2 linked regions of the Macaca fascicularis genome follow. Each later gene encodes a partner of the first gene's protein in a complex. Links are inferred from orthologs where the notes say so. Each region holds a gene or a part of one and is shown in the gene's direction. Other genes may lie near its edges.

Region 1 (4,487 bases):
ACTTTCTACATGGTTAGACTCATCACTGCCATTCAGCTTCCCTCATCAGAACTCCTGTTGCCAAATCTCTCCAGCCCTAGGTTGGTCTTTAACTGTTGTTTTCTTGTCTCTCACTGAAATGTAAGCTCCATGAAGCACAGCCACATGCTTCTTTTTTAGCCTTATACACTCAGACGTATATTCACTTTAGGATCAATAGTGTTTGTCAACTCAAATAGGGTGTGTGGGATGCATGATCCCACCTTCTGTTAGATTATTCAGCTCCTAAGTCATGCAAAACCGATACCTTGTGGACCTCCTTTCTAAAGCTCCTGCAGGGTGGGGGAAGAATGCACGGATTCTCATAGGTGCATTTAGCAATTACTAGTAACCAGCACTTAATGAATGCTTACTAATTGCTAGGTCCTGTACAAAATACATTACATACATAAACTTATTCAATCTTCATGACAACTATTATTATCCCCACTGAACAGATGAAGACACATAGAGGTCACTCAGCTAGTAAGTAGCGCAGCTAGGATTTAAAACCCAGACCGACTCCAGAGTCCATCCTCTTAATTATGACACTAAATTCTTTATGGGTAACAGAAAGCCTCTAATTGTAATGTAGATCAATTTCTTTGCTTTCTAACCCAATGGGAAGATGCAACTAAAAGGGTGAGAAAATATTTATTATACTCCTACTATGAGTCAAGTATTATAAGAGGTGCATAATGGGTTAATGATATAATTCTTGCAATAAGTCTAGGAAGCAGGAAGTATTAACTCCGTTTTAAAGAATTTGGCTTCTAAAGTGGTTAAATACAGTGCTCAAGTTTTAGCTTCCAGTTATGGGCAGAGCTGGAATTAGACCAGGTTTTCTAACTTTGAAGGAAAGACTTTAAAGGAGACTGTATGGAAAACCCTGCCAAGGGCAAATGTGAAGGGCACGTGAAAAGACATCTGAATTATTACTTATAATAATTCAGAAATAGTCAATGTGTGGCGCATATTGAAGAATGGTGAGAGATTGTCAAAAAATCTATTCTGTAAATACTCACAGAGGAATAAGCTAATTAAATACGGGAGCTGCGGGTCTTGGGCTAGGACATAAAGCCCAGAACTTCCCGTGAGGCAAAGGAACCGACTGCGCCACCTGTCCTGGAGAACCTGGGAACCCGCTCTAGAGACTTGGGCTCAGCCCCTTTTCTTTCCTCACACTCTAATTGGCTACTTTTCCCTGGGCTCCGCCTCCTTCTCTGTCTGGACCATTAAACAGGCAAGCCCTACCCAGGACCTGGAAGCGGCCTCCAATCAAGTGCCAGGCCCTGGAATCCCTCTAGAGAAGCCCCCTCTCCGGCGAGGCGCTTTGCTCTCGTCCGTGATTGGCCAGGCGCAGCATGGGGTCCGCCTCCTTCTCTTCCAGATAGGTCAGCGGTCTTCAGGACCACATCCCTTTCGGCCGGTCCCTGCCGCTCTTTCCCTTCGCTGCGTGGCCTTGGGCGAGCCCGGTCCTCTGCGGAGAGCGCCCCGCCCTCTGTGAAGGCCCGCCCGGGAATTGGCGGCGGCGCTGCAGCCATTTCCGGTTTCGGGGAGGTGGGTGGGGTGCGGAGCGGGACTTGGAGCCGCCGCCGCTGCTGCCGCTGCCGCCGCCCACAGAGCCTGCCTTGCGCCTGGTGCTGCCAGGAAGATGCGGCCGGGGCCCGGAGGCTGCTGCTGTCGCCGCACGGTGCGGGCGAATGGCTGCGTGGCGAACGGGGAAGTACGGAACGGGTACGTGAGGACCAGCGCCGCAGCCGCAGCCGCCGCCAGCCAGGTACGAGGGGCCCGCGCGGCGGGGCCGGGGTGGCGGTGCGGGCTGGCGGAGGGGCGGCCGGGCAGGGCGAGGTCTCCTGGCCATCCGCTGGGCAATCCGCCGGGTGGGCGCCGCTCGCAGGTGTGGGCGGCAGTGTCCGGCCGCTGGCCCGACCTCCACGAGCATAGAGGCTCAAGGACGACTCGGGGGCTCCTCCACGTCCCCGCGCCTGGAGGTCTTCCTCCCTTCCCCCCGGAGCTCTGGGTTCTGCTCAGAGCCCCGGGTACCTTTCTCTGACCCATCCTGCCAGAAGTGTATGCCACCCCCAGGGGAAGCAATGAGGGACCCCTCGGACCCCAGTGGGAGCCACCCAAGGGCTCCCGAGGGTCCCTTCAAACCCCCGAGGTTGTTGCTTCTTCTTAAAGTCCTGCAGCCTTCCAAAGAAAACCACCCATGGGGTCCTTAAGAGGCAAAGAAAGTTAGGCGGTGGTGTCAGATGGAAACACACCCAGCCTCTCCCAACCACATTCTGGAGTACCACGTTCGCTCCCCAAGCAGGACATTGGTCCGTAGATCTGGCAGGGAATCCAAGCTGGTCCCTCGAAAGCATTATTCTCTTAACTCTGCCCGTGGTGTGACTCTACCCCAGGCTCCAGATTGAATTGGGTGGCCCTTTCGACCCTTTTCTGAACACGAGTGCTATCACACAAGGGGATTGTTTAGCTTGGTGGTGACTTGCGATGACTCTGTACTAATTAACCATGCTGAATCATCAACCAAGTTCAGGCAGTTCTAAAATATTTTGAAAAGTTCTAAATTCAAGACAGTGCTTATTATCAACCTTACAGTGCTCTAGACTGACAAGTATTCTGTTGAAATGTGTTTTTAAAGATGAGCTGGTTAAAAAGATGCAAGATCGGTGTTCCTGGAAGAGAGTGTTGGGATAATTTCCAGTTGACTTTAATACGTTTAAGTCTTGTACAGATACTCAGGAACATTTAGAAAGTACCCTGTTCCCCTTTAGCAGGAGTGTGATAGGATGGTGATCTTCATTTGGCTTTAACAGAAATATCTGGCAGGCTCCACCCGAGATGAATAGTTATGATGGATAGATCTGTTACTGTTTGGTGTGAAGCAGAAAATAATGCATTTTTCCAGGTCATGTGAGATATTGAGACTGAGAGTTGAGGGGAAAAATAAGTAAAACAGACTTGACCTCCCCTGAAGTTGTAAGTTGTCAAAGCGAAGTAATACACAGATCAAAAGATTTGTTTTCACTTTTAAAGAAATAATTGTGTGAGGGAGGAAGTGATAACAATGAGCTCATTATAAGCAGTGGAATGGTTTGTTGTTTTTCTAGCAATGTAAACGACTTATAAGACAAAATTGTTGTGATATAGAATGTAATAGGGAAATTTAACGGGTAGGAGTTAGAAAATACATTGTAGGTGAATGAGTGAGGTATGATTTTTTTTTTTTTTTTTTTTTGAGATGGAATTTCGCTCTTGTCGCCCAGGCTGGGGTGCAGTGGCGCGATCTCGGTTCACTGCAGCCTCCACCCCGTGGGTTCCAGCGATTCTCCTGCCTCAGCCTCCCGAGTAGCTGGTATTACAGGCGCCCGTCACCACGCCCGGCTAATTTTTGTATTTTTAGTAGAGACCATGTTGGCCAGGCTGATCTGGAACTCCTGACCTCAGGTGATCCGCCTGCCTTGGCCTCTGAAAGTGCTGGGATTACAGGCGCGCCCGGCCGAGGTATGATTTTTTTTTTTTTTTTTTTTAATGAAAAAGGAAGTCAAGAGAGGTGTTCACCCTTCAGAGGTGCTTTGTGTTAAAATGCTGCTTTCAATCCCTGTGAGTTATGTTCTGATTTAGTAGGAAATCAAGGACCTTTCTCCCATAATCTCTAACAATTTAGCATTTGTAGAATGATATTTCTTCAGAGCTTGTCAACTAATAAGGTGAATAAATATCAAGGTACTAACATGACATTTTAAAATCTGTATAAATAACATTTGGTTGACTTTTGGGGACATGCTTTATAAAAGTTTCACTCAAGGCACATTGGTGGCATTTAAAAGAATGGTCTGTTGGAATGCTGTGAGGGCTGCAGTATCCCTTCTAGAAAACTTACTTCTCACCAGTATTTTTTAAACAGACTTCAGATCTGGAGCTTTCTACACTCTCAGATGGAGGAATATTGTCTGTGAATTTTTTTCTTTCTTTTTTTATACAAAAGAGAGATCTTGGTAACTACATGAGAGCTATACAATATCTTAACATTTTTTAAAAGTTGTTTTCATTTTAATTAAAGCGATGTGCCTGTGCTCCAACCTCTACCTGTCTTTCCCATTTTTCTGAGGGAAATGTTGCCAACTGTGCCATCAAAAATACGCAAACAGCTGTGTGTCATGCTTTTACTAGAATATGAATTTAGAGTATAAGATGGTTGAGATGTAAATTATTTTCCTCCCATCTCCCATGTCTTTTAATGAACAGGAGAGAAGTCAGAAACGTCTAAGATCAGTTTACACTCTGGAGTATGTTTCTATGCTTGAAGGCATGAATGAATGTATATAGTAAAAGAACAACTCTTGGATTTGGGTTTAGAATTTGATTAGCTAGATGCTGTGTTAAGGAGTTATGAAACAATCAGACATTGCTGTTTAGTGATGACAGTAGACACACAGTTTTCACAATAGTAGCAGCTG
Region 2 (4,532 bases), on another chromosome or scaffold:
GGAAGGAAGGGTAGGTGGAGTCCGAGTGAAGTGCTCCCCAGTTTCCCTGGGCTAGCCTTTTCCTTCATGTTCCCTCACTTTCAGTTCAGGGTGCCATGAACTGCCATTCAGAGTCAGGTTGGCATGCCATGACATCATCTGATCTTGATATTCCAGCCCTGCCCTGCACAGAGTGGACTTAGAAAGAAGCTGGGTAGGGAGTTGAAACTACTCAGACAAGGCCTCTTGGTGACATGGAGAATGGGAGTCACCGAGGAGACCTCAAGAGCAACCTCCTAAAGTAATATTAAGTAGATTCATACAATGCAACAGGTGCTTTACATACATTTTTTTGGGTTCCCACAACATTGGAGGTGGGGTTTCGCAGGTGTGGAATTGGAGATTAAGACAAGTAATTTGCCCAAGGTCACATTGCCAATAAAGGAGGGCCTGCCCTATGTCTACCAGGCAGTAAAGTCTGTGCCCTTGCCTTTAGACGATGCAGATGTGAAAACTGTAGACCAGAACCTCTCATTCAAAGCCACACAAGCTGACCTGAGACAGAAACTCAGGCTCCTTACTACTGATCAAGGAATCTATGATACGTGGCTTCTTCTCACGTCAGGTGCAGGGAGGCCAAGGAAGTGGCCCGGTCCGGGGCAGCCTGGGCCAAGAGTGACTGAGAAGGAGAAGGCAGGCTCCGTTCTGGGCCCTCCAGACCCTCACCCCAGCCAATGTTGTGAAAAACGCGCTCCCAGGAGGGCCCAGCAGGGCAAAGGGCCAGGCTAGTCTGTTTCTGGAGGAGCCAATCTGGGGCCGGGGCGGAGGCAGCCAGGTGCAGTGGAAAAACCCTGTACTTGGGGTCAGAATATCTGGGTTTCGATCCAGTCTGGGACCCAGCAAAGACCTACAGCAAGTTACTTACAAGTCCGAGTCTCCTCATCTGCAAAACTGGGGCACAGATAAAATACACTTGAAGGGCACAGGAGCAAAAGTTGGAATTGTTACGCACCAAAATTCTATCATCCGATCTGACCACGTCACGGTGCAACTTCCAACCGCGCGTCCCCGGAGAGTCCGGGAACGGAGCCCAGGAAAAACTACAACTCCCAGGAGCGTCGGGCGGGCCGGCCAGGAACCAGCAGAGGAAACTACAACTCCCAGGAGGCGTCGGGCGTGCCGGCGCGGGGCGGTGACGTCGCGGGGGCCGGCGCGGAGCGCTGATTCGGCCGGAGCTGCCAGCGGGGAGGCTGCCGCCGCGGGTTGTTACAGCTGCTGGAGCAGCAGCGGACCCCGCTCCCGGGAACCGTTCCCGGGCCCTCGATATCCGGCCCCGCACGGTGAGCCCAGACGGAACCAGGAGGCCCCAGGGCTAGGGGAGGGGCGGGAGAGAAGGTAGGAGCTGCTGGGGAGGCGCCCCGGGCTGGATAGACGGGGGCAGAGAGAGTGGGGGGTGGAGGGAGTGCATCAGCCGAGGGGGTGCAGCGGCTGGGGAGGTGGCCAAGGAATAAAGTGCGAGCTGGAGGCCGGGGTTGGAACGTCGGGAGGAGCGCCTCGGCTAGGGGTGGGAGGCGGGGAGCGGCTGGGCTTCTGGGATAAACGTTTGGCTGCTTCCAGGGCTGGGTGAACGCGTGGAGATGGCTGTGGGGTCCCGGACCTGGCCGGGTTCCGAGTGCCAGGACCCAGACTGGGCAACAGAGCGGGACCCCTCCCCCCGGCCCCGCGCCCGAGGTCTCACTCAGAAAACCCCAACAACAGTGAGGACTCCGCCTCTTCGCTCCTCCTCTCCTCTGCTTACTGCGGGTTCGCCTGGGCACTCGCTTTCCGCTCCCACCGCCCTCCCCCAGTCGGGGTGGCTGGGCCAAAGTTGAGATGTGATCAGCCGTGGTCCTGCAGCTTGGGGGGTGGGCGGAATGGAAGTGGCATCGTGACGTGCTGCCGCGGACTCCCCTTTGGGGTCCCCATCCAGGCCCGGATGTTTTGTGCTCCTCTTCCAAGACAGGGGGTTTGCTGTTGTGAGGGCTGCTCTTTCCTGGGGGAGGGAATGGGAAGGGCTCACCTGGTGGCTGCCCTGGTGGTGCTCAGCCTTGGCTTGAGTGTCTGGCATACTGGCTGGGCCCGAATATTTGTGCGTGGAGCCAAGCGGGTGGGGAGGGAAGAAGGGGGAAAGAGCTACCAGCAAAAAAGTGGTTAACAGAACAGAGTTGCTGCAGGCTCTGGTTTGAGGCAGGTTATGAAACCACATCAGGGCCCGGCACTAAGCAGCCACCTGCCAGCTGTGGCAGCAGAAGATTTTAGCTCAGCTCCTGTAGACCTAGTCGACCTGTGCCAGCCTCTTCTCTCTGTTTCTCCCCATCTAGGGGAGGGGTCGGTTGGTTGGTTTACTAATGGAAGTGATATGTGCCTGTAGTCACACGAAAGTCTCAAGAGTGTTTCCTGGCTGCCAGTCTTTTTGTTAGTTTATTGATCTCTTCTTTTTCAGGGGTGTCTGGTGGTTTCCTGCTCTCAGGGTACCTAGTGTTTAGGCTTCAGGAAGAAGCTTTCGGGGGTGTCGGCTGGGACCCAGGTCTAGTCTTTTCCTAGGCTCATCGAGTTTTGTTGGCTGCCCTGTGAAAGCCAGAAAGGGGTATGGGGTCCTGTGGTCTGGGATTCCACGAGGCTTTTGGCACTCTTGGACAACTACTAGGAAGGGTTAGTGGGCTTTCTACACCAGCACCTCTGTAGGTGCGGGTTACAGAGAGGTGATGGGGTGGCGGTTTCAGGTCAGACTTGGGACGCTGTTTCCCTCTCCTTAGAGGTAAGTCCTTCAGAGCCCTCACTTCTCAGCCACATGCCACCCTCTCGTCTCAGGTGGAGGCTTTTGCGTAGTAGCTGTCCCAGGGGCTGCTAGAGTAGCTGAAGCCCCAAGGCCCTGGGAAGATAAACAGTGGGAGCCAGCTCTGGCTTTCTAGATGCTAGGATTTCTGTTAGGCTCCATTATCCAGCCTCATGGGCTGCACTGATGGGTCCCAGGAGCATCACTGCAATCAGAGTGCGCCCCAGGCTGGCGCACAGGTGTTTGCTTGTTGGGATGGTGTGTTGTGGGTCACGTTTGCCCTGAGGTCTCTAAGCTTGGAGCTGTCTGAGAAGAGGAAACTTGCTCCTCTTATCCTGGAAGTAAAGAACTGGCCCCTGAGGATTCAGGCTCCTGTGCAGGTTTGGCTAGTTCCTAGTCAGAAGTAGATAGCATGTGGGTCTGAGGGGGTTGCTGCAGGGGCGTGAGACAGGTGGCCTTCCGGGTACTTCTAGAATATCTCTATCTGGGAGTCTTCTCTGCATTCCCAGGAAAGATGGGGCTGTTAACATGGTGATGATCTTATGGTCTTTAGCAAGCAGGACCCTACCTCAGATAGGGAGGTGAGCCAGTACACAGGTGCCATCCGTCTCCGCTTTCTCCTGGTCACAGGGCCCTCAGGGATCTGGGGACAGCCAAGCTCTGGACAAGGGGCAGATCATTCCACCCCTTCCTTCTCTACTTCCCTCTGCTCACTGTGGGTTGCGGCCACCTCCTGGCTCCTCCTGCTGCAGGACTCCCACCGTTGGTGCTGGGCAGGGGAAGGCATGGTGCTAATGTACACCTGGAAACAGGTGCTGAGAGGGGAGGCTGAGGTGAGGATGGGCAGGACAGAGAAGAACGGGGCCAGGAGGAAGACCACAGGTTCGAGTCTGTGCCCTTGGGAGACATATGTTGATGTGGGTTCCAGCGCTCTGTGGGAGTTATAGGTGTTGGCCACATTCTCTATCCTCGCCTCTCTTGTGGGGAAAAGGACCCTGGTGGTTTGGCAGCGGAGTGGGTGGCAGCACAAGGGTTGGCCTGAGTGGCTGCCAAATGGAGAAGACATCCAGATGGGTTATTTTGTGTCACCCAGGAGGGGTGCCTTCCAGGTCCGGGCAAAGGTTGTCGCTAGTCTGTTGTTTTCTTCTATCTTCCTCCCTCCCCACTTCCCTCTTTGTACCTGATCAGTCCTCCTAAGTTGGGGTTTGGGGAGATCCAGAATTGAAAAAATTAGAGGAGGTGAGTGGATGCAGTGACCTCAAAATAGTTCGTCCACTGCTGCCTGTACCCACAGGCCTCACTTCTTTCCCTCCTGATGGGAAGGGCTTAAGAGTGGATGTCCCACATCAGGCCCTCAGTGAGACACAGTCCAGCAGGGGTTGTGCTGAGTGAGAATTCTGTCTCTGGGGCTTTGTCGGCAGAGGGTCCTCATGGGAGTGCCATAGGGGGTGAGGCTGGGGGATGGGCCTTGACTTCTCTGCTCTGGGCTGCATGCCTCTTGATGACCTGTCCTCCAATGCCCTGCCAGGGCCCTGTCCCAATGGGATAATGCGTGGGGCAGCCTGCTGTTTATCCCAGCCCAGCAGCAGGAAATGAGTAGAGCTAAGTCCACATGGACTTTCTCCACCTTCCATGCTTGAGAATCAAAAGAGTGGAACTGCCTGGAGTTCTCAGGGAAGGAAGAGCCTGCCTCCCAGTGGGATCCGAGGGTGAGAGGGGGCAGGGAAAGCAGTGTGAC

Evidence for each region.
Region 2: the proteins of SPTLC2 (region 1) and ORMDL3 are in contact, whole or in part, in a cryo-EM structure (PDB 7K0O), measured with the Homo sapiens proteins. The link is inferred for Macaca fascicularis from reciprocal best matches to the Homo sapiens genes SPTLC2 and ORMDL3. Residues at the interface, in NP_004854.1 of Homo sapiens: Glu65, Thr66, Pro67, Met68, Ala71, Val72, Tyr75, Tyr86, Gln116, Phe118, Glu119, Asn120, Phe121, Tyr122, Tyr127, Trp134, Asp259, Glu260, Leu261, Asn262, Val267, Arg271, Ile279, Met320, Val495, Val496, Gly497, Phe498, Pro499, Ala500; in NP_001307730.1 of Homo sapiens: Met1, Asn2, Val3, Gly4, Thr5, Ala6, His7, Ser8, Pro12, Val16, Ser19, Arg20, Gly21, Ile22, Leu24, Ser25, Leu28, Phe63, Val67, Lys68, Gly69, Thr70, Pro71, Phe72, Glu73, Pro75, Gln77, Arg81.

What each region holds. Positions count from the first base shown.
Region 1 is NC_088381.1:145,569,170-145,573,656, reverse strand, and holds the start of SPTLC2 (serine palmitoyltransferase 2), read left to right. Parts: upstream 1-1,465; 5' UTR 1,466-1,672; coding exon 1,673-1,798; intron 1,799-4,487. UniProt on the Homo sapiens protein: Component of the serine palmitoyltransferase multisubunit enzyme (SPT) that catalyzes the initial and rate-limiting step in sphingolipid biosynthesis by condensing L-serine and activated acyl-CoA (most commonly palmitoyl-CoA) to form long-chain bases.
Region 2 is NC_088390.1:60,986,594-60,991,125, reverse strand, and holds the start of ORMDL3 (ORM1-like protein 3), read left to right. Parts: upstream 1-1,513; 5' UTR 1,514-1,616; coding exon 1,617-1,782; intron 1,783-1,824; exon of another isoform or gene 1,825-1,994; intron 1,995-4,532. UniProt on the Homo sapiens protein: Plays an essential role in the homeostatic regulation of sphingolipid de novo biosynthesis by modulating the activity of the serine palmitoyltransferase (SPT) in response to ceramide levels.